Macaca mulatta: one gene and its partners. The protein of the gene in region 2 purifies or fractionates together with the protein of the main gene of each other region. This does not show direct contact. Links are inferred from orthologs where the notes say so. Each region holds a gene or a part of one and is shown on either strand. Other genes may lie near its edges.

What was found.
Region 1: the proteins of COPS6 (region 2) and BTBD1 purify together in Homo sapiens (affinity purification with mass spectrometry; 3 studies listed by BioGRID and IntAct, counting the BioPlex papers as one, with this or other methods). This does not show direct contact. The link is inferred for Macaca mulatta from reciprocal best matches to the Homo sapiens genes COPS6 and BTBD1.
Region 3: the proteins of COPS6 (region 2) and BTBD2 purify together in Homo sapiens (affinity purification with mass spectrometry; 4 studies listed by BioGRID and IntAct, counting the BioPlex papers as one, with this or other methods). This does not show direct contact. The link is inferred for Macaca mulatta from reciprocal best matches to the Homo sapiens genes COPS6 and BTBD2.
Region 4: the proteins of COPS6 (region 2) and RHOBTB1 purify together in Homo sapiens (affinity purification with mass spectrometry; 4 studies listed by BioGRID and IntAct, counting the BioPlex papers as one, with this or other methods). This does not show direct contact. The link is inferred for Macaca mulatta from reciprocal best matches to the Homo sapiens genes COPS6 and RHOBTB1.

What each region holds. Positions count from the first base shown.
Region 1 is NC_133412.1:73,727,444-73,733,172, reverse strand, and holds the end of BTBD1 (BTB/POZ domain-containing protein 1), read right to left. Parts: intron 5,429-5,729; exon of another isoform or gene 5,149-5,428; intron 4,092-5,148; coding exon 3,945-4,091; intron 3,469-3,944; coding exon 3,310-3,468; 3' UTR 1,692-3,309; downstream 1-1,691.
Region 2 is NC_133408.1:47,395,669-47,402,322, reverse strand, and holds COPS6 (COP9 signalosome complex subunit 6), read right to left. Parts: upstream 5,217-6,654; 5' UTR 5,195-5,216; coding exon 5,122-5,194; intron 4,899-5,121; coding exon 4,773-4,898; intron 4,577-4,772; coding exon 4,445-4,576; intron 3,806-4,444; coding exon 3,717-3,805; intron 3,614-3,716; coding exon 3,551-3,613; intron 3,298-3,550; coding exon 3,250-3,297; intron 3,162-3,249; coding exon 3,047-3,161; intron 2,962-3,046; coding exon 2,869-2,961; intron 2,768-2,868; coding exon 2,667-2,767; intron 2,537-2,666; coding exon 2,396-2,536; 3' UTR 2,277-2,395; downstream 1-2,276. Other genes in the region: DNA replication licensing factor MCM7, read left to right, coding at 1-45, 807-916, 1,075-1,276. UniProt on the Homo sapiens protein: Component of the COP9 signalosome complex (CSN), a complex involved in various cellular and developmental processes.
Region 3 is NC_133424.1:2,712,405-2,718,320, forward strand, and holds part of BTBD2 (BTB/POZ domain-containing protein 2), read right to left. Parts: intron 4,392-5,916; coding exon 4,272-4,391; intron 3,005-4,271; coding exon 2,848-3,004; intron 1,572-2,847; coding exon 1,392-1,571; intron 341-1,391; coding exon 235-340; intron 1-234.
Region 4 is NC_133414.1:88,904,639-88,910,554, reverse strand, and holds part of RHOBTB1 (rho-related BTB domain-containing protein 1), read right to left. Parts: intron 5,731-5,916; exon of another isoform or gene 5,577-5,730; intron 4,351-5,576; 5' UTR 4,341-4,350; coding exon 4,149-4,340; intron 3,787-4,148; coding exon 3,683-3,786; intron 1-3,682.

The DNA of each region.
Region 1 (5,729 bases), on a different chromosome or scaffold from region 2:
AGCACTAAAAAGTGGGACGTTTTAAACACATTGCATGTAACATATCTCATTGAAGACCTTGCTCTCTTTAATGTCTTACAAGTTTATTCCCATGTTAAAAATAATTTTAAAAGGCCAGGCACAGTGACTCACACCTGTAATCCCAGCACTTTGGGAGGCCGAGGCAGGCGGATCACGAAGTCAGGAGATCGAGACCATCCTGGCTAACATGGTGAAACCCCGTCTCTACTAAAAATACAAAAAACTAGCCGGGCATGGTGGCGGGCACCTGTAGTCCCAGCTACTCAGGAGGCTGGGGCAGGAGAATGGCGTAAACCCCGGAGGCGGAGCTTGCAGTGAGCCGAGATTGCGCCACTGCACTCCAGCCTGGGCGACAGAGCGAGACTCCATCTCCAAAAAATAATAATAATAATTAAAAAAAAAAAAAAACTATAGGTACTACTGTCAACACTCTGATAATGCAAGGAATCTCAATTTGTTGGGTAGATACTGGAATATCACACTTTCTTAAAACAGAAAGTATATTTTATAGTAGATAGTCAAATATCTTTTTGGGTCTCACTGCAAAGTTTGAGAATGGTGACATGTTATTTTTGAACCCTGCAAAACATTTTCTCAACTCTGTAAATGGGTTTAAATTCCACCTCCCACCACTTGATAAACTTTTTTTTTCCTGCCCCGACAGGGTCTTGCTTTATCACCCAGGCTGGAGCGCAGTGGTGCTATCATAATTCACTGTAATCTTGGACCCCTGGGCTCAACCAATCCTCCCCTCAACCTCCCAAGCAGCTACAACTATAGGCACGTGCCACCACAACCCAGCTAATTTTATTTTTCAGAGACAGGGTCTATGTTGCCCAGGCTGGTCTTGAACTCGTGGCCTCAAGTGATCCTTCCGTCTCAGCCTCTCAAAGTGCTGGGATTACAGGTGTGAGCCACCATGCCCAGCCTAGCTGACCTTTTAATTTGCCCGTGAAATGGGTACTTACCTCATACTGATGCTGTGAGAAACAAATAAGAATGTAGTCAAGTACTTATTGCAGAGCCTAGTACATAGTAGTCACTTGGGTAGTTATTATTAATAAACAGCTGTAAGATGATAGTCACACTCTAACAGTAAGATTATTTATTGGATTCTCCCACATTCATCCTCCACCTCCTGAGATTAGAACAGGGGAGAAAAACCTGAGACCACAAGAAGTGATCAAGAAACAAAAGGCAGCGGCAGTTATCGCTGCAGTTCCTATGAACTGCTTTAAGTCAGCAGTGAGGTATTTGTATTTTGTATTGCATTACTCCCATAAAGTTAAACTCAATTAACTAGAACCTCTGTTCCAAAATGGTGTTTATAGCCAGGCGTGGTGGCTCACGCCCGTAATCCCAGCACTCTGAGAGGCCAAGGCAGCTGAGGTCAGTTCGAGACCAGCCTGGCCAACATAGTGAAGCTCCGTCCCTACTAAAAATACAAAAGTTAGCTGGGCATGGTGGTGGGCGCCTATAATCCCAGCTACTCTGGAGGCTGAGGCCGCAGAATTGCTTGAATCCAGGAGGTGGAAGATGCAGTGAGCTGAGATCACACCACTGCCCTCCAGCCTTGGCAACAGAGCGAGAATCCATCTCAAAAAACAAACAAAAAATCAAAATGCTGTTTATATTCACTTTTAGAAGAAAAAGCAAATGACAAAAAAGGGTTACATATATATATTTATTTTTAAAAATTCCAGGGGATGTCCCAAAGTTAGTAAACAGTTCTGTTTCTTGTCCTTTCTATGGCTGATGCAGTTTCAATTGTTCAGTTCAACAGAAAGGTCATTTGAAAGGTCTCCACCGTCAAGAAACACTTACTCATCTCTGGCATATCATATTTTTTAAGGCAGAAGTATTTTGTATAATGGTTACTACAGAGTGTTTACTGGTTAATTTTTAGTTAACCAGAACCACACATCCCATAGATATTCCATTTAACTGAGGTTTATATCCATAAGAGCATTACCACAGAAAAATTTCCCTTTAGCAATTTCAGGAGACCTCAGCCACCAATATACCTACCTTCTTGACAATATAAAGTGAAAGATTGCTTTGGATGAAAAATTTTTATATATTATTTAGAAAAAATTAAATTGATACTTAAAAGAATTTTGATTTTTAATCACCTTCCACAACGATTTGATATACCTTAAACTCCACTTACATTTTTTATAAGAGAATCACTTTCAAGGGAAAAAATGAATCTTACTATATTTTAAAAATCTGCTTTATAAAAAAGCATATATATGTCAATCTGCCAGATATACTTCCTATCCCCAACACAGCTGTAACAGTGACTAATAGGGTCATGACCATGAAGCAAATTTTACTTCCTAGATAGAAATGTGTAGGTGGCAGAAAGTGTATTTTTCAGCAGGAGTGATTCTGTTGGATCTCTTTACAATATCAGAGCAGTTGTTAGAAATGTTAGTATTTTATTCGGTTTCTTGCTGTGCAGGATTTTCACAATGTTGAAGTGATGTCTGTTCACCCAGTCGTCATCACCGTCATCGTCTCAGTCTTGGGAACCATCAGCAGTGTCCCCCACACAGAGAGACAGGTATAGTGGTGCAGTTTAGTGACAGAGAATCCAGTCTTAGATCCTGTTTATATCACATTTTTGTGAATTTACACAAAATTCCATTTATAGCTTTAAAACTGTACTACATAACACATTACTACTACAAAATATCCTTCTCTGTAAATGCACTGAAAATTTTCTTGGGCATTTTATTAGGCCTTTTTTAAGCATTATTACAAATGCTAACAACTAGATAGTTCAAACCCCCAAATATAAAGTCAGCTTCTTAATTTTCTGAAATTTAGTTAATACGAATTCTGTAGGAATACTGACCCATGTCTTTTCATCCAACCTTCAAAACAGTTAATTAAGCCTAGTTGCCCATCTCAATTAACCTTCAAAATAGTTAAAAACAAACCCAAACTAGCTATATATAACAAGAATCTTTCAATTTCCAAACTATTGAAAGACCCTAAGTCAGCCAATCTATGAAATTATACAAGATGAAGCTGAAAAGGCTGTGCTTTTTTTTTTTAACCATTAAACCCAGTTCTTTTCTCCTAAAGTTGTAAGAAAATGGAAAATCTGTTTTTAAATCATGCAAAGATTTAAATAAACATTTTTCTATCTCCTCTAAGAAACTGTTTCTTATCTTACGATTATAAATATTCATAACACTCAAACTACTTTTTTGTGGCCATTTATGTTTTTGACACTAGATTGTATGGTACTATTTTGCCAAGATGTAGTATAATGCTAAATTATGTATAAAATATGATTTCTGGAATTTGTCCATCTTCTATTGAAGTGCCATTATTATTGCCTGGGGAACTAAAAAAGAAAAAAACAGTCTTGCTTGCAGCAGGTGTCTCATGCACTACTTTCTTCAATCCTTTTGTGCCATAGTGGGAATCTGGACCCTAAATGAGAACAAAAGGTTCCTTAGTAATTTTCATTTAATAAGCACTCAATTTAATGTGGTGTTTTAATTAATGTTCTATTACATTACACTATCACTCCTATATACAATTTTATGATATCATTTAGAAAAAAATGAAGTTTTTACCAAAAAACTAATTAATGAATAAAAATACTGAATGTAGAGCCCAGCTATTAGAGAATAGTGAAAAGATTTTTTAAAAATTACTTTTATTTTCTGCCAAACATTCAACTGCTTACTGAAACAAAGGGCTACTTCTTAGGAAGACCTATTTCCTTTAGAACAGAGCTGTGGGGAGAAGCACTTCTTTTCAGAAGGCAGTGGAATATTTTAAGTACCAGCTTCTTTTCCCCGCTCTTTATAAATGGCTCAGCTGTCAGTGACTCCCAGCTTCTAAAACACACTTTCTGCAACATTCAAGAGGAAACCATCTGGAACATCGTGCATGATTCTTACTTTGAGTGTTGCACATGCTGTGTAGCACACATTGGGCAGGATCTCTATGGGTTCTTTGAACATGACCCTGAACGTGTTAGCCGTCCCATCACAACTAAAGCCGGTATCGTTCTGTCCCAGCGTTTGTTTTTTCTCATATTCAATGATCTGTAATTTTTAAGAGACAAGTTACATTTAAGTTAAACCAAATGAAGCAAACTACAGAATAATATGAAGCCCTTAGGCATCTCTGTGTGTGTGTGTGTGTGTGTGTGTGTGTGTGTGTGTTTTAAACAGACTCTCACTCTGTTGCCCGGTCTGGAGTGCAGTGGTGGGATCTCAGCTCACTGAAACCTCCACTTCCCAGGTTGAAGCAATTTTCGTGCCTCAGCCTCCTGAGTAGCTGGGATTACAGGTGTGCACCACCACACCTGGCTAATTTTTTTGTATTTTTAGTAGAGACAGGGTTTCACCACGTTGGCCAGTCTGGTCTCCAACTCCTGGTCTCAAGTGATCTGCCCACCTCAGCCTCCCAAAGTGCTGGAATTACAGTCTTGAGCCACTGCACCCAGCCCTAATTTTTCATTTTTTTGTGTGTGGCGATGGGATCATGTTCTGTTGCCCAGACGGTTTCTATTATTTTACTCATAGTATTTATACTTCATCTTTTTTTCTTAAATTATATTTTATGTTCTAGGGTACATATGCACAACGTGCAGGTTTGTCATGTGCCATGTTGGTGTGCTGCACCCATTAACTCGTCATTTACATTAGGTATATCTCCTAATGCTATCCCTCCCCCCTCACCCCACAACAGGCCCTGGGGTGTGATGTTCCCCCTCCTGTGTCCAAGTGTTCTCATTGTTCAATTCCCACCTATGAGTGAGAACATGCGGTGTTTGGTTTTCTGTTCTTGCGATAGTTTGCTGAGAATGATGGTTTCCAGCTGCATCCATGTCCCTACAAAGGACATGAACTCATCATTTTTTATGCTGCATGGTATTCCATGGTGTATATGTGCCTCTTAATCCAGTCTGTCATTGATGGACATCTGGGTTGGTTCCAAGTCTTTGCTATTGTGAATAGTGCCACAATAAACATATGTGTGCATGTGTCTTTATAGCAGCATGATTTATACCCAGTAATGGGATGGCTGGTACACTTCATCATTTTAATGTACCTATAATCCTGATGCCCTCCCTCAGTTTGTACACAAGGAGTCTGGTGTCTTCTTTTTTTTTTTTTTTTTTTAAGACGGAGTCTCACTCTGTAGCCCAGGCTGGAAGGCAGTGGCGTGATCTTGGCTCACTGCAATGTCTGCCTCCCAGGTCCCGGTTCAAGCAATTCTCCTGTCTGAGCCTCCCAAGTAGCTGGGATTACAGGCATGCACCACCATGCCCAGCTAATTTTTTTGTATTTTTAGGAGAGACGGGGTTTCAACATGTTGGCCAGGCTGGTCTCAAACTCCTGACCTCGTGATCCACTCTCCTTGGCCTCCCAAAGTGCTGGGATTACAGGTGTGAGCCACCGCACCAGGCCGAGTCTGGTGACTTCTGTAATACATAATGTAAGAGTGAGGTTCCACAATCAGCGGCTGACAGTGGGGAACTTGCGCCTTCCTGGACCTGCCGATTATCCAGCTTGCTTAAGTGGGTTCATGGGGTCTACTGAATAGGATCTTAACAATATATTTAAAAAGTATATAAAGTACAATGGGGAGTGATTGTGAAAATCTTTTATATCCTTCAGAGGTTTGCTAACGTCTTTCTGTACTTAAAAAACATGGAAACAAAATTTTCTAACCTA
Region 2 (6,654 bases):
TCCGCTCGGACCCTGCTGGCTATCCTGCGCCTTTCCACTGCTCTGGTAAGTGCCCAAACTGCTGGAGGACCATCTGTTTTGACCCTTAAAGTGGCAGCTCCTTACCATGCTCTCATCGCCGAGTCCCTCCCGCTCCAGCCCTGCTGGGGCTAAAGTGCTGACAGTGCAGATAGTGGTCCTCTCCGTGCTACCGCACTGTGGGTACTTGCTGCTCCAGCAGGGCACGCACAGCGTCCGTGGAGGGAAAGGCCTTTTCCCCACTTGTTAACCTTCACTGAGCGGGTGGTTGGGATCTGTTTCACTCCATGTCCTAGATCCTGTGCTACAGACCTTCCTTTCTGTCCTCCCGTCTTGGACCTCAGTCCTGGGGGCTCCAAAGTGCTGTTCGTGCAGGTAGTGTGATTAACCGACCTACTGCTGAGCTAGCACTTCCCGAGCCCCCAGGACACGTTCTCTCTGCCAGTTGTCTTGGCTGAGCTCCCCAAGCTCCATCTGTCATGCTGGGGAGCCCAGTGGAGTTCAAAAGGGTCTGGTCTCCCTCACAGGACAGCTGAACTCCGGGACTGGCCAGTGTTGAGAGGCGGAGACTTGGGCAATTGCTGGACGCTGCCCTGGGCATTGCACTTGTCTCGGTCTGACAGTGCCGGCCCAACACTGCGGATGCTGGGGGGGGTGGGGGGCTCCTCTCCTGTTTTGTGAGTAGGCGACCCATGGGCTGCCCAGCCTTAAAGCCAGAACAAGGGTGTTCCCTGACCTTGTTCCACTGCCCTCCTCCCGTTCCCATCTGTCCCCTACCTTCCCCTTAGGCGCGTCTGCGAATGGTGGACGTGGTGGAGAAGGAAGATGTGAATGAAGCCATCAGGCTAATGGAGATGTCAAAGGATTCTCTTCTGGGAGACAAGGGGCAGACAGCTAGGTGAGTGGTTTAGTGAAGGACAAAGCTGAGTCACTTTGGCTTTTGTGTCCATGTGTCTGAGGCTGGCCTCAATTCTAACACTGACCATCATTGTTCTCTGTTGATGTCGAGCATTCCTGTTTGTCCCCTGACCTTACACACCTACTCATTTCCTTCAGGGCTCAGAGACCAGCAGATGTGGTATTTGCCACCATCCGTGAACTGGTCTCAGGGGGCCGAAGCGTCCGGTTCTCTGAGGCAGAGCAGCGCTGCATATCTCGCGGCTTTACACCCGCCCAGTTCCAGGTGGCTCTGGATGAATACGAGGAGCTCAATGTCTGGCAGGTCAATGCTTCCCGGACACGGATCACTTTTGTCTGATTCCAGCGTGCTTGCAAGCCTGGGGTCCTCTTGTTCCCTGCTGGCCCGCCCCTTGGGAAGGGGCAGTGATGCCCTTGAGGGGAAGGAGGAGCCCCTCTTTCTCCTATGCTGCACTTATTCCTTCTGCTAATAAAGTGTTTGTAGATTGCCACCTTCTAGCCTGGGCCTTTTGTGTTTTTTAGATTCCTACCTGTTCCTTTTTTATGCTCCTATTTCATCGACTCAGTAAATTGTCTGAGTAAGCTGCATCTCCCTGCCAGGCCCCAGTATAGATGCTGGGGATGTGGCAAAGACTAAGTGGTCCCTGCTGTTTGGAGATACTTGAGCTGGGGCTCCACTTTTTGAGCCCCCCGACTCCCTTATTTAGTCTTACACTGCCTGTGTGCCAGTCAGGCTCTGGGGATACGGCGCCAGTATGAAATGCAGGGTCTCTTGGTTTTTCCCCTTTTCTAGCAGACAGGTCATTACTTAACCACTTAGTTCCCAACTCCCACTCTAAAGCTCTGGTTAGCGGGTGATGAAAATCGGCACAAGTGATCACATACAGCAATCCTGACCTTTAGACCACTTCCTAGCTGCCTCTCCAAAATATGTAGTAAACGGTCATTGAGAAACTCCCTCCTGGTAATTCACAATGCCCACAGGATCAAGGCTTGGACTTGTTTCTAATAAAAATCTGCTTACTATCTCTTGTTTTATGCATGTGTGAAAAGTTAATTTCGCTCGGGAAAGTAGTTGTCACGTTTATAGGGCTGGGCTATGTATAAGATGTCGTCAAGGGTGACATTAAAGTGTAGAACAGAGACCGCTTAGGTGGAAGCAGGCAGCCTTGGATGCTAACGACAGTCCATGTGACTGACACGGGGTCACTTGAAATGGCAGTGCCTCCCTCATGGAAAAGCATCAGAAGGGCTTGTGAGCAAGGCTCACGATGAACCTCGATGAACATCCAAGTTGACAAACCAGTGTGGTGCCTAACAGAGAGGACAGAGCCACCAGCAGGGGTGCTCGGGGGCTGTTCCCCTTTATTATTAATGACAGCGGTTTCTCTCAAGTGTAGCGCCCTCCCCTTTGGGACAGTTGCCTGACCCCTGTCCATCAGCCCTTCAAGTACCCTCCTCAGAAGAAGAGCCCGCGCATTCGCCTGCCGATGCCTTGTCGATCATAGAGGACGTTGAACTTGTTCACAAACTGGTTCATGGTGTTGCACGTTTTCGTGATGGTGCCGAGGTAGGCCATGAGCCCCACGTCGTTGCATTGCTGGGAGGGAACAGAAAGGACAAATTCCTCAGGGGATCCCTCGTGGCATGCCCAGGGAACAACAGTCCCCGGTCCTCCACGTGAAAGTGACAGCATGAGCCCCACCTCCCCATCCAGGTTTTAAACTCACATCATAAAAATCTGTCTTGAACTTGTCTGTGCTGAGCACCGGGAGGCAGTGACACAGAGCATAGGCCTCCCGCAGGATCTCATGATTAAAGGGGACCTCTCCTAAAGGCACAAAAAGAGGCTGCATTAGTTTGGATGCTGTCACTTCCCCAGGAGGGAGAGGAAGAATGCCAGGGAAGTGCCCAAGGAAGCCCCTGTCCTACCCGCTTCAGAGGCCTTGACGTACTCCAAGATGAGCTTGACGCGGCTGTGCAGCATCTTGATGGCGCTGTGCTGTGCTATCAGGTGTTCAGCCACTGCAAAGGGACGAGGACAGGAGGAGGTTGAGACGGGATGTGGCCACACCTTCCAACCCCACTTCCAAGTAATCCCCTCCATTACCAGTGGAGTTCTCTCCACTGCCTGTTGCTGTCATTCGGGCTACGTGGTCTACACCAATGCGTTCCGCTTCCTCTGTGGCCAGAGTGTAGGTCAGCTCAGCAAACAGCATTGTGGCCTACAAGGCAAGGTAACCCACAAAGGGAGAATCAAAAGCAGGAAAGAGGCCAAGAGCAGGATCTGAGGGTTCAAGGGTAGGGTATTACCTCTCCATTGATTATATCGATGACAGACTCAAAAACGCTGACAGGAAGCTGTGAAGGAGATGGAGAAACCTGAACACTATATGCCAACATTTGGACGAGCTGCTTTCACCCATTTCCTCTCATCTCATCTTCCCAAGAAACCAGTGAAGTAGGGATTACCTCCCTTCACAGTTTGGAGATGAAATGACTAAGACAGAGTTACAGCTGGTAAGTGGCACCTGGCATTCCCCAATAGAAGAGTATCACACAGTAAAAGACAACAGTGACAATCACGACAGAGTAGGCATGGGGTATTACTCACATCTGTGTGCTTGGTCATAGGGTTCAACTTCAGAAAGAGGGGGCTCTCAATGATCTCACACACCTGGAAGAGAGGGACAATGCACAGAAGTCAGTGACCCCCACCTTTCTCCTTCCCCTCATTCTCCATTCTCTGCCCCAGCATGCACAGGTGTGAGCATGTATACCTGCTTATGGACGTGGATGTCCGAGGGGTCAGGTGGCCCCCCTGTGGTATACCAACCCAGAAACTCCAGCTCCTTGAACACCTGTTTAACTGGAGGGGAAAGGGCCAGAACACACAGTAATTCTTTTTTTTTTTTTTTTTGAGTCTTGCTCTGTTGCCTAGGCTAGAGTGCAGTGGCACGATCTTGGCTCACCACAACCTCTGCCTCCCAGGTTCAAGCAATTCTGCCTCAGCCTCCCGAGTAGCTGGGACTTCAGGCACGCACCACCATGCCAGGCTAATTTTTGTATTTTCAGTAGAGATGGGGTTTCACTATGTTTGCCAGGCTGGTCTGTAACTCCTGACCTCATGATCCACCCGCCTCGGCCTCCCAAAGTGCTGGGATTATAGGCCTGATTCACTGCGTCCGGCCTGACATAGTCCTTTAAACCATCCTTCCTCAATGTGAAACTCCTGGTGTATTTTCACCAGCTTCTCCTCCTTCCTCAAATCCTGGCTCAGTTTAGAATAATTACTCCCTTCTATCCTGTCTTCTCTCATCCTTTACTTTCTTTTTGAGAAAGAACTCTGAACGTGTTCTTTTTCTGAGATCTCTCCAGCTACTCTCTTCACTTTTTCTCCTCTGTTCTTGGCGTCCTCTCGGGTTTCTTTCCAACCCTCTCCATCTTCCCCACCTTGCACATTTTTTTTAACTCCCACTCCTCTTCCCCACATCTATTCCACTCTCACACTGCTCCTCCTTGGTGTAATAATATTCCTTGTCAATTATAATCTTCTCTTCCACGGTGTGGGACAGCAGCTCAAAGGAGTTCATCACCTCGATATTTCGGCCCTCCTGCTTGCCAATCAAAGCCCCAATCACTGGGAGAGAATGACATGGAAAAGGTAACGTTAAAGAGACTTCTATGACCTGAGGGTCTAAGATGAGTGGGAACCAAGTATTGGGGAAACGATGATTTGGGGGAGGGGAATTGGATCCAGTAAAGGAAGGGGAAAAGACCACTGTCTGGGGGAGGTGAGCAAGGAGAGGAGACTGGAGTCTATGCCCAACACTCACCCTGCACAGGCCGCCCCTCCTGGGAGCGCATGCGGATCCAGTGGTCGGAGATGTTGAGAATGACAAGGGGATGGAGAGCGACGGAAACACTCCCAGTCACTCCGGAGGCCATCACGCTGGGAACTACTAAGGGTGGAGGGAAAGAGAGAGGGTGAGAGTCCGGGCCCCACGTTCTTCCCTGCAGATAGCAGTGGGGGACGACGGAGCCCGGGCCACACTTTTCCTCCCGCAACTTATCCCAGAGAAAGATGTTGCTGCTCCGCCCTCCTCCCTTCTCCCGGGAGCACAGCAAGGCCTCAACGCACCCCTGAAGGAGGTCTCCGGAAGCCGCCCGCGCACGGCCCGTTACCTGCTGCATCCACCTCCATCCCGCTGCTCCCTCCGGTCCCGTTTGTAGCTGCACCCGCCGCCGCCGCCGCCATTTTCCCCGCGCCCGCCAGCCTCGGCCCCGCCCCCTTCCCTCCCGGCTTCCGTAAGGCGAGCAGCGCATGTTCTGTGTCTCCGCGGCAAGCGGCGGGCCTGGCGTCCGGGGAGCAGGCAGTTCCCGGGTCGCGGCGGGCGGCACTCGGTGCAGGGAAGCCCGACGCCCTCTGGGCCTCGGTGCCTGCCGGTTTTCCCAGACCCTGTCCCCGCCTGTCGCCTGCGGGTGACCTTGGACAAATTAGTTAACGATTTGATTGATCGTCCTCGTCTGTAAAATTGGGATAAGAACTCCTAGTTCTTAAGGCTGTTGCAGAATGAATGACATGTCGTGTTATTTCCCTCACAATAAAATCCAGACAACTAACCACAGCCTGCAAGGCCCTGCCTGATCTGGCCCCGGTCTGGCCTCTACTTTTCTAGCCCTTGATCTTCAGGCTACAGCTGCACTGGCCCTCATGTCTGTCTGGTGGTGGTGGTTTGTTTTGTTTTGTTTGAGACAGGGTCTCGCTCTGTCGCCCAGGCTGAAGTGCAGTGGCCTGATATCAGCTGACTGCACCCTCAAACTCTCGGGCTCAAGTGATCCTCCCATTTCAGCCTCCCGAGTAGCTGGGATTACAGGTGCACCCCACCACACCCAGCTAATTTTATTATTATTTTTTTATTTTGATAGAGACAGGAGTCTCACTAGGTTGTCCAGGCTGGTCTCCAACTCCCTGACAGAAGCGATCCTCCATCCTTGGCCTCCCAAAGCACTGGGATTACAGGCATGAGCCACCACACCCAGCTCTCCGTGTCTGCTTTCCACATGCCTCACTCTCGCATTCAGGAGCCTGTGTTTCCTTCTCTTGTTCATCGTGGTATCCCCTGTGACCAACACGGTACCTAACACATTGGTGCCTAGATACTTTTTGAGTGAATGAAGGAATAATTTGGGATGGAATCTGGTGTTGAGTTGCTCCATCTTGTGAAAGTTGCAGATACCAGGACAAAAATCACATTGTCAAGTCCAAACAAATTGGAGTCATGAGAACACCAAGCAGAAGGGCTCATGCTTGCATGTCTGATATAGGGACTGTCTCAAGGACTTTCGAAAATAACCCCACAAGGCCAGGCATGGTGGCTCACACCTGTAATCCAAGCACTTTGGGAGGCCGAGGCTGGCCAATCACTTGAGGTCAGGAGTTTGAGACCAGCCTGGCCAACATGGTGAAACCCTGTCTCTACTGAAAATACAAAAATTAGCCGGACGTGGTGGCATGTGCCTGTAGTCCCAGCTACTCGGGAGACTGAGGCAGAAGAATTGCTTGAACCCGGGAGGGAGAGGCTGCAGTGAGCTGAGATCGCACCACTGCACTCCAGCCTGGGCGAGACAGAGTGAGACTCCGTCTCAAAAATAAATAAATAAATAAATAAATAAATAAATAAATAAAATAACTCCACAAGGCCAGGCATGGTGACT
Region 3 (5,916 bases), on a different chromosome or scaffold from region 2:
GGTCACCATCAGCTGGGAAGGTGGGGTCTGGCCTGTGGCCTCCCGGCCAAGGCCCCAGACTCCCCTGGGGCTGTGCTGGACCCGAGCTCCTGACCCACTGCAAGTGGTGAGACCCCAGCTCACCTGTGCAGCTCCCCCAGGGAACCCCCAGGCCCAAAGCTCCCACTGTCGATCCCCAGACCCTCCTGCCAAGGCCCTGCTGGGATTCCCACACCTGGGCCCCTGGACCCTTACCCAGGTCAATGTCGGTGAAGCCCTCTGCGGTGATGGCATCTGCGGTGTTTTTGTCGATGTTCTCCAGGCACAGGCTGGCCAGCTGTGGTTCATCGAAGAGTCGCGCCTGGCGAGACACATTGATGGGCGCGTGGCGGGGACATCAGCACCCAGCCCTCGGCAGATCCCGTGTGGAGCTGGCTCAAATGCAGCCCTGACCGCACAGGCCTTCCTGAGCGTGGCCAGGAGTCACCGGGGTCTCAGCCACCAGGCTGGCCCTGCCGTGGGCCCAGAGACCCCCGTGTGACCGCTGAGTGGGGCGGGAGAGTCGGGGAGTTCCCTCTCAGGACCTCAGAGGCCAAGGAAGGAAGAAAAAGATGCTCAGGTCACTGTCGGCAGGGCCTGCTGCTTTAGGCAAAAGGGGCACTGCAGCTGCACTTGGGGGGCAGCAGGGCCCAGGACCCCGAGTGGCAGGCAGAGGTGAGGCGGCCAGGGTCGACCCGGTGAAGCTTCCGGATCACAGCACGCCCTTGGCCACCTGTGGTGGGAGGGGCTGTGTCCCTGGCACCTCCATCCCAAGACACACAGCAGACATGACTCCTGACAGGTGACAGAGCTGGACGTCGCCTGTGCTCTTAGGGAAACTGAGGCTGTTAGTGGAAGGTGCTGGAAGGGCCTATGCCAGCAGGGACGCGGGCAGGCCTTTCTGCAGGCATTCCCCCTGAGGACACCTCTCAAGCGGGTTTGCAGTGGTTTTAGGAGCAGGGAGGCTGAAGCAGCCACAAGACAAAGCTCGGGGCATGAACTCCAGGCACCTCTCAGGTCAGGCAGAGGCCCCTCCGGCAAGACGACCACAGATGACCCGGACAAGAAACCCCGCCCTCTGGGAGTCCGGATCCTCTGCATCTGACCTGCCAGGTTGGAGAGGGAGAAGGTTCTGGGTCTTTTCCAGGATGCTGGACCCCCGAAGCCCACTGGAGGACCTAGTGCTGCTGTCCCCTCTGGCCGCCCTCCACCCCCGACCAGGAGCTCACAGCTCGCAAGCGGCCGTCCAACTGTCCTGGCCCCATGTCCTCCTCTCAGCCTCCCTGGCCTGCACGACCTCCCCAGCTCCCACCCGTTGGGCTGCACAGAGCCCAACTGGGGTCCCCTGAGATCCCCGGCCCTGCTCTGTCTACCTGACATTTCCTTAGAGAGAGACGGAAAGTTCTCTCTTTTTTTTTTGTTTCTTTTTCTTTAGCCAGGCGTGGTGGTGGGGGCCTGTAATCCCAGCTACTCTGGAGGCTGAGGCAGCAGAATCGCTTGAACCCTGGAGGCGGAGGTTGCAGTGAGCTGAGATCATGCCATTGCACTCCAGCCTGGGCAACAAGAGAAACCCGTCTCAAAAAAAAAAATTATTTTACTTTTTTTGAGAGACAGGGTCTCACTCTGTCACTCAGGCTGGAGTGCAGCGGCGCCATCTCCGCTCACTGCAGCCTCAACCTCCTGGGCTCAGGCAATCTTCCTGCTTTGGTGCCCCAGGTAGCTGAGATTACAGACACGCACCACCATGCTTGGCTAATTTATGAAAAATTTTTTTTTTTTTTGAGACGGAGTCTTGCTGTGGCGCCCAGGCTGGAGTGCAGTGGCGCGATCTCGGCTCACTGCAAGCTCCACCTCCCGGGTTCACGCCATTCTCCTGCCTCAGCCTCCGAGTAGCTGGGACTACAGGCGCCCGCCACCACGCCCAGCTAGTTTTTGTATTTTGAGTAGAGACAGGGTTTCACCATGTTAGCCAGGATGGTCTCGATCTCCTGACCTCGTGATCCACCCGCCTTGGCCTCCCAAAGTGCTGGAATTACAGGCTTGAGCCACCGCGCCGGGCCAATTTTTTTTTTTTTTTTTTTTAGTAGAGATGGGGTTTTACCATGTTGGCCAGGCTGGTCTCAAACTCTTCACCTCTGGTGATCTGCCTGTCTCAGCCTCCCAAAGTGCTGGGATTACAGGCATGAACCATTATGCCCAGCCTGTATCTTTTTTCTATTTTTTGTAGAAATGGGGTCTCCCTATGTTGCCTAGGCTGGTCTAGAACTCCCGGCCTCAAGCAATCCTCCCTCCTCGGCCTCCCAAAGTGCTGGGGTTACAGGCATGAGCCACCGCACCCTGCCAATAACTTTTTAAACTATCACAGAAAAGTCCAAGACACATTTTTTTTTCAGGTGGAATCTCGCTTTGTTGCCAGACTGGAGTGCAGTGGCGCAATCTCGGCTCACTACAACCTCCGCCTCCCAGGTTCAAGCGATTCTCCTGCCTCAGCCTCCAGACTAGTTGGGATTACAGGTGTCCGCCACCACTCCAGGCTCATTTTTGTATTTTTAGTAGTGACGAGATTTCGCCATGTTGGCGAGGCTGGTCTGGAACACCTGACCTCAGGTGATCCGCCCGCCTCAGCCTCCCAATGTGCGGGGATTACAGGCGTGAGCCACAGCGCAAGGCACAAAACACATTTTACTACCAGGCAGGATCCTGCTGCCTCCAGGGCCCACCCCGGTCCCGCCTCCAGCCCGTGCCCGCCTCCAGCCCGTGCCCGCCCCCAGCCAGGCCTGGCCCCGCCTCCGCCCCGTGCCGGCCCCGCCCCGTGCCGGCCCCGCCCACCTGCGTGAGCAGCATGAAGGCGTTGTCGGCTCGCAGGTTCTTCTTCAGGAACTCCACGCAGTGGGCCTCCAGCGCTGGCACCGCGTACTTCTTGGCGGTGTATAGCGTGGTCATCACCGTCTCCGGGCCGATCTGCACCTCGTCCGAGTAGAGAAACCTGCAGAGGCAACGCGGGTAGCCATGAGATGGGACCGCCATGCCCGCCCCCAGGGAACAGCGTCAGAGGACCACTCAGACCTGGCCGCCTGCCCTTGAGCCTGCAGGGCCCAAACGCCCCACATCAGGCTCCCCGAGGAACCTTCCAGAATTAGCCCTTGTCTGTTGCCCTCTGACCTAGGGACATGACTTGGCAAGGCAGTCACCCATGAAAACAAGAGGCTGAACCCATCCACACAGCACACACCCGGAAGCGTCTACACGGCCTGTCTCGTTCTTCCCGGGATGCCCCAGGAGAGGGCACTGGGAGCTGGGTGTCTCCTCCTTGGGCGCCTTTTCCATGAGGAACTCTTGGTTCCCCACCTCAGGCCCCACCGAAAACCTCGACCATTTCTGGGTGATCACAGAACCCAACACACTAGTTAGGCTCATGGATAATCATGGACGACATTACTGTATGCCAGCGAGGGGCCCACACCACGCTGAACACGATGCCAGCCAGTGGCCCACACTGAATACAGATCAGAAGTTGGGCCGATCAAAAATAGAAGCAAAGGCCGGGCCTGGTGGCTCGCGCCTGTAATCCCCGCACTTTGGGAGGCTGAGACAGGCAGATCACCTGAGGTCAAGAAGTTCCAGACCAGCCTGGCCAACATGGTGAAACCCCGTCTCTACTAAAAATACAAAAATTAGCTGGGCGTGGTGGCGGGCACCTGTAATCCCAGCTACTCAGGAGGCTGAGGCAAGAGAATCGCTTGAACCCAGGAGGCAGAGGTTGCAGTAAGCCAGGATCAAGCCACTGCACTCCAGCCATGGTGGCAGAGTGCTACTCCAAATAAAAAAAAAAAATTTTTTTTCTCAGGTGGATCACCTGAGGCCAGGAGTTTGAGACCAGCCTGGCCAACATAGAGAAACGCTGTCTCTACTGAAAACATAAAAATGAGCTGGGTGTGGTGGTGAACGCCTGTAATCCTAGGTACTTAGGAGGCTGAGGCAGGAGAATCACTTGAACCAGGAAGGCGGAGGTCGCAGTGAGCTGAGATCACACCACTGCACTCCAGCCTGGGCAACAGAGCGAGATTCCATCTCAAAAAAAAAAAAAAAAAGAAAAAAAAAGGTGCCTCTGGAACCCCTCACTGCACAGGAACACAGTTCTAGAAATCTCCACCAAGCCAGGGCCTCTGAGGTGGTGTCAGACAGGGTCTGCGTTCTCTGAGGTCCCCCTCCCCGCACCCGGCTCCCCAGCAGGAAGCATCCGGAAGCGTTACTTGAGCAGTGCAAGGAAGGCAGCGGGTTCCACGTCGGGCAGCTCGATCTCTGTGGACGTTGTGGCCATTCCCCCGTTGAACATGGCATCAAAGACGGCGCTGCCCACAGCCAGCACGAACCTGGCATGGGAGAGAGGAGGCCCTGGTTAACCCCATGGCCGCCACCCCATGGTGGGGAGGGCCTGCCCGGTATCTTGGATGACCACCCCACCAGGGGTCCCCACCAGCCCCCAGCAGGCATGTGCCAGGCCCCCTGATGGCAGAGGCTTCTGGAAGGGGCCTGGGACAGCAGGAGGGTGATGCAGATGGACCCACGGCAAGGACAGACAGGGCTGGGACCATGCCCTGGACCACACAGGGCCTCACACTCTGCCAGCCCTCACCATCCTCTTTCCTTCCAGGCGTCAGGCACGCATTCACGCATTCCCACATGCATGCATGCATTCATTCACAGATGCGTTCATTCACTCGCTCATTCATTCACATGTTCATTCATTAACTCATTCATTTCCATGTACATTCACTCACTCATACACATACACTCACTCATTCATCCACACATGCATTCATTGACCCACTGATTCATTCCCATGGGCGTGCATTCACACGCTCATTTATGACCCGCATTCATTCATTCACTTTCTCATTCATTCACTTTCTCATTCATCGCACTCATTCGCTCACTCATTCATCCAACACGTGAATTTATTCGCTCATTCACCCATTGACACACACATTCATTCATTCCCACATGCACTCATCCACTTATTCAGCCTCATTATTCACTCACTGATTCACACATTCATCTACTCTCTATCACTTTCCCGCTCACGCATTCCCTCATCGGCACACACTTTCCCAGGGAGTCAGCTACAGGCACAGGGCCTGGCCTGAGGGAGACAGACAAGGACCAAGTGGCCGAACAGCCCCCACGGAGTGAGGGAAGAGAGAGGAGCGTGGTCCTATTCGGAACACAAAGCCCAGGGAAGCCTTGTGGGGTCATCTGAGCCACCACGCCGGTGGGGAAGGGCATCAAGGCCCAGGGAACAGCAGGAGCATGGGAGGAGCGTTAGGAGGCACCAGGGGCAGCCCCAGCTGGGAAAGCAGTGGCTGTGAGGACGCTGTGGGTTCTGCCCCGTGTGGAGCACAGGCTCCCTATGGGACCCACTCAGTGGCTCAGATCCTCCATATCGCAACAGGCAGGAGGGTGTGGTGGGCACAGGAAGGCTGCTGGTGCCTCCCGAGCCTCCACAAGAGCCGGCTATGAAGCCGCATTTGGCCAGGTCTGTATGGGGCGCGGAGGACTCCATGGCTCCCAGGCTCAGGACGCCACTCTATGCTGTGCATGTACGGTCCCCAGGGCCTGCCGCCATGATGGCCTCCCAGGGGGCTGAGACCACACACAGCATAGGGGGTCCCGGACACTCAGCAGGTGCACAGACACTCGCAGGGCGGGTTCATAGACGCTCGCGAAGTCGCGCGGCGGAGCACCTGCCCCAGGACGTGGCGGTCCCTGCGTCACCTCTTCCCCACTTGTCCCCTTCCACGGCTCCCACCACAGCAAACGCCGGCTCTGAACAGCCTCTCCCCGCCCAGAAAGCTCCGGAGCTGCAGGTGGTTCCGCCCGGATGGGACCTGCTTCTCA
Region 4 (5,916 bases), on a different chromosome or scaffold from region 2:
ACATCTTTATTACCAGTGTGAGAACTGACTAATACAGGGACTGAAGGGCCAGATTCCTGATAAAGGCAGAGCCCATCCCGTTTGTCTATATTTTCAGTGCTAAGTCCCTAAATGTGGACATTTCATTCTCATAAGAGCTCCAGGAGACAACTCTTGAGTTGAGCGACATCCCTTTAAGAAGAGGAGCTTTCCTTGCCAAAAACGAGCAGCTGATCAAAGTCACGGTTACTATGTACGGTTTTGTTCCTGACATTTTAAAAGATCCAGAAAAGAGCTTTAAAAGTTCATCCAAAAGTGGATATAAAGTAGGTGGTGGGAAAAAGGCCATAAGAGAGCTGGAGTTACTCACTCCAGAGAAGAGAGGGTCGACAGTTTTCAAAGTGCAGAGCATTACAATGCTCATGCTACTCTGTTTCCTTCATCTCCATGGAATAGAAGGGCTCCTATCAATACTTCTTTTTGGATAGATGGATGATTTCCCTTCCTGAAGACATGGGGTCAACCAGATGACCTTTTGAAATCTCTTCTAGTTCCAATCTTTGCACAAATCCAAAAGAGCAAATAGAAATCCAGCTCACCAATGTAGGGTCCCAGTAGGTTGAGGTAGCTTGGCACAGTGGAAAGAGTGAGAGCCAGGAGTCAGGCAGAGTGACTTTGAATCTGCCTCTGAGACTCAGTTGTTGGGAAAATTTATGGTAGTAAAAGAACTCAACCCTTTACTCAATGGTAGCACCAAGATCATCTCTGCCTCCTATAGTTCCTGAAAGGATTAACTAATGTTGGCAAAACACCTAATGTGTTGACTGGCACACAGCAGGTTTTTGATAAATTGAAGATTTTATTCTAATTGGCAAAAAATGGGTAGAATAGTTCCATTTAAATCATAAGAGAGCAATAACACTGTGGTTATACCACATCAGGAACATTGCAAATTCAAGTTGGCCAACTGCCTACCACTGACAACTCCTCATCCCACAGAATCCTCTCTGCAAACTATGGCTTGTCCATGCCAAAGAATGTTTGAGGGGCAACTTATTAACTATCTTTTGCTATGAAGCAGAGGAAACCGAAGGCAAGGTCTAAGACATGTTGGTTTAAATCTGGCTTCTCTCACTGTCACCACAAGAATCAAATTAATTATTCTAAAAAGGTCTCAAATACATTTCCAAGTATAGGGAACGTATTTCACATGCCTCAAAGTTTATGTCTGAGTACATCCCACTGAATTGTAATTCTCACTAAGTATAGTAAAAATGTCAGTCACAAAACAGGTTTGCAAAACAAACATTGTCAGAAGCTATAATTATGATTCCTCGCCTTCACGAATGATATAAAGGTAAAACTTGAAGTCATTAAGAAATTAAACAGCTCTCTCAGAGCAGGGAAATGTACTGGTCAGGGACCTAGAGTGAATAAAAGAACTACTTCTCTCAGGTTTTTCCATAAAAATGTAATTTTTTTTGGCATTACGTCAATGTGATCTTACATATTTAGCATTTACAGAAAGATGCTGGAGTGCAAGAAAGAGCAGCTCTGGTTTTTGTTCTTTAACTAGAGGTGGGGTCTGTGTCAAGACACCTGGAGGCTGTGAGGAATTGGAAAAGACAGAGGAAATACAAGGTACAAACATGCACACAAAGTGAGGCCCCAAGGAGAACGTGGCCAGAAACACGGGAGTGTTCCTGAAGCCCCTCTATGTTCCTCAGAGAATCAAAGTTGGCTTGGGGGAGCACTTCCTGTTTCTACCAAAGGGATAATGGGTTACAGTTGACAGAACCAAATGTTACAGACAAGGGAGCAGAACAAAGCACTTTGAACTGATGGAGTCACAGGAAAGAGCAGCTTATTTTTGTTGGGAGGGAACACACACGCAGGTATGGCATGTTGTATTGTAAAATGACTCCAGCTATGTCAGGGAGCTGGACAGGGCCCAGTGTGGATCTACGAAGGCCATTGTGCCATTAAATAAATGCTATGCAGGAATCTCACAAAATAATGAAGCAGCCCTTTTATTACCACCGCACCAGCTTTACGCTGAGGGGTCATGTTAAAATTCATTGTTTGAAATGAATACATTTCATTGTTGTTTTCTCTTTTTTTCTGTGGTATTTTTTTTTTCACAGGTATTGACAAATGCATACATTTCTAGTGGCAACAAATCACTGAGCTGTTGAAATAGTTTCTAGAGTCTAAACCCAAATATTTCCATTAACTCATCATCAGGCTCATCATTTTCACAACACCGTTTTAGAAGTGGGGATATAAAAAAGTCCTTTGAAATCTATTGTATTTATCCTCACACTGCCTAAAGTCATCAAATCAAGCTTCCTCAAAACCACAGGGGTTACAAACCTGACTGCCCAGCAGTTACAAGCAGGTTCATTTATAATTGTTATTTTTACATGTAGAACAATTGGCCAAAAGAAAAAAGCAAAACGGCAACTAAGATAACAATCAAGAACATTACAGGAAGAAAAAAAAATCCAGGAAATTCAAGGAAAAGAAAACTATCTATGATGTCGGATATTAAGTTCAAAAGTCCTTGTTACCAAGCGGACATTAAAACTGTGTTTTGCTTCCATATCTCTCTTTCTGAGTCCCCTTGAAAAAAGTGGTCTAAGTCACAGATTCTTTCAGTGTGTGAAATAATTCCTAGGAATAGGGCAAACTCTTCCAGCAGTTTATTCATTATTTTAGGCCACTTAGATAAATGACAATAAAAGTCTGTTCAGAGAGCTACTGGCTTGGAGAAATAGAAGAATCTTCAGAAATGCTTATCTCGATACCAAGGAGTAATTCATGTGCTTGGAGTTCCTAACTAATAAAATCCTGTAAGGTAACATGATGTTTAATGTTAAGAAGAGACAACAAGGCCATGATATCTACATTCTACACTTAAAATGAAATGTGTTCATTTATAATTAAGTGGCAAAAAAAAAGTCTCCACTAATCCAGATTTTAATAGCTATAACCCTTTCATTGAGAGAGACGTTAAGTTATGGTGGCAAGCAGAGGTTGCTAAATATTTTAAGGCACTTTGACCATCTTCCTACCCATATTAATGTCCTTTTAGAGGAGTTTTCCCATTACTAGATTTTTTTCTCCTTTTTTTAAAAATAAAAAATAAACATTAGTGTTTCCGTTCATTTTGGAAATATGTCTTGCAAAGGACTTCAGGGATGTTTTTCTTTCTTTTTAAAAATGACCTTCTAATAAAAATAACAGACTTTTCAGATAACACAAAACCCAAAGCAAATAACATTAGACTCTGCCAATATGGTCATGAAAAGACCAAAGAGTCCTTCTGAAGTAGGGTGACTGAGTGCCAAAATAACATAAAACATTCTAACAGAAGGCAAGTGAAGTGTTACTCAGAGAACCAGCAATCAAAGCAGCCTGCAGTTGGAGGGTGTTACAGAATCCTCATCTAGCAAACCTTCCAGCTTGACCACTGCTTGTTTTCAACACAGTACTTCCTCATTGGCAGGGCATGCTGCTTTTCTTGACTTCAGGAAACAATACCATTCTTTTTTTTTTTCTTTTTTCTTTTCTTAGACACAGTGCAGAACCCAACACATTTCAAGGCCATATGATGTGGTTTTTGTTGATTTGTGAACCAGCTGCTGGTTTTGAAAAGGAAATTGCACTCAAGCTCAACCGCACTGTACTAGTCTTGGTTTACCTGCCATATGCAAAGCGTCTGTCTTTGTGATGATCACCAAAAGTATCCCAAAGCCTGAGGGAAACACTCACTTCATCAACAACATCCCGAGAACGCTCCAAGACCTGCAGGAGAGAGAGAGACAGCATCTGTGCTCAGTGTCAGTAAGAAGTTCCCTAGGAGAAGCATGTTCAAGTCAGCACCCTCAGTGCCCCTCAATTCACTTGCATTAAGTTTCCTTATTCTATCTAATGGGATTTAAGCTAAGTCTTAATTCCCTTTTTGGAACCACCTGTCTCAACCCTCATTCAGGATACCCAGAGCCATAGTCTCCGGTTTGCATTTTACTTTTGTTTTCTTTTGTGGCACTAAAAAGGTTAGTTTAGTTTTGAATGTGCAATTTACCCACGCTCCTCCTTGAAAAAATCAGACTGGTAACCAGCAATGATGTGCCCTAGGGATGCTAAAGACACTCTGTGCATCTTACCTCCTGGCACACGCGGTACTGGTCAATCGCCCACACGGTTGGCACGTGGGTGGCCAGCAGCTGATACTGCGTGAGCGTGGTATTGCACGCCCTGGCACAGATCAAGCGCGTCTTTCCCACGGCATTGTCACCCACGACCACACACTTGATGGTTTCAACGTTGGGTCTTTCGTAGTCCATGTCAGCGTCCATTTATAAAACTCTGGAAGGAGAGAGCGAACACCGCAGTAAGGACACCAAGGCTTTCCAGAGCAATCGAAGACGTGAGATGTTCGGGGAGTTTTGCCTTCATCCAGCCACTTCCTTGGAGGTGCACAAGCACGGGCAAGAATGTTTGGAAGTTCATACTAAGCCTAATTGACACTCAAGTTTTCTTTTTATATCTCACACAAGTACAAAAACATGGGACTGTTATTTTGACCCCAAACGGTTTATTCCCGTTAACATGTTATTTTCTTCTTGGTTTTCTCTAAACACAGCCTGCCTACTGGAACTCCATTCAGCCACTGTCGGGACAGCTGGCACACATTTATAGCCTACTGGCTACTCACGTTGGCCTGCTAGCAAGTCCGGTCACCTGTAGGGCTAAACATCAACACTGGGGCAATAGGCAGCCTTGGCAATGCTAGCATCTGCTTCATCACAATATTGCCCATTAGCCAATATCTGTTGTTGAAAAGCAGTTTTCTATAGGTTCAAAACTATTATGGGGACTTAGAGAATAATCAAAAGTGCAGGCTGAAAGACTACCTGACGTCAAAGAAGAGTAAACTGTAAGTCTAAATTTAATCAAATTAACATATTTATTTGTATTAAATCAAATTCAAAATTCATTAAAAAATATATATATATAGAGAGAGAGAGAGAAAGAGAGAGAGAGACAGAGACAGACAGAGACAGAGAGAGAGAGAGAGAGATGGAATGTCAGTCTGTCGCCCAGGCTACAGCACAGTGGTGCAATCTCCACTCACTGCAACCTCTGCCTCTTGGGTTCAAGCGATTCGCCTACCTCAGCCTCCTGAGTAGCTGGGATCACAGGTGCCCACCGCCATGCCCGGCTACTTTTTATATTTTTAGTAGAGATGGGGTTTTGCCATGTTGACCAAGCTGGTCTCAAACTCCTTATCTCAAGTGATCTCCCCACCTTGGCCTCCCAAAATGCTGGGATTACAGGCGTGAGCCACCGTGCCCAGCCACAAAAAAAGATATTCTTAAGAGGGCCCATAATAAGATTCAAAAAAATTATCTTCCGTGTTTTCATCAAGAAATCTGGAACATATGGCAAAGAATAATTTTACCAGGAGAGTTACTTTGGAATCTTCCTGAAATCATCCAAGAAGGTTTAAACAGGGTTGCTGATGAGAGGCCAAGAGGAAGAAAAAAAGCACCTGCCAGCTTGGTCTCCCCAGGGACAGGACCCTTCACAAACAGGGGTGCAGACTGCTTACCAGTAGCGGCTGGGTAGCAGGCCAGCCATGTATGAGTTTAATATTTTAATTAATTATAATTGCCTTTTCGAGGGAGTCTATTGTAATAAGAACAGATACTACACTTGATCTTAGTCAAAAGGCTGACAAGCAATGGAAGTCCATTGTTAAACTGAAAAAAGTGGGTGGACAGTCATTTTTAAGGAGTCAGTAAAGATTTTAATGGCTATGGTAAAAAACTGTTCAGAGTAAAGCCTAATACATAATTGGGACTCAAGTGTTTATTTATTTCATCTGATTTGAGAAAAACAATAACTTGGATAACATGAGATTAAGGGCAT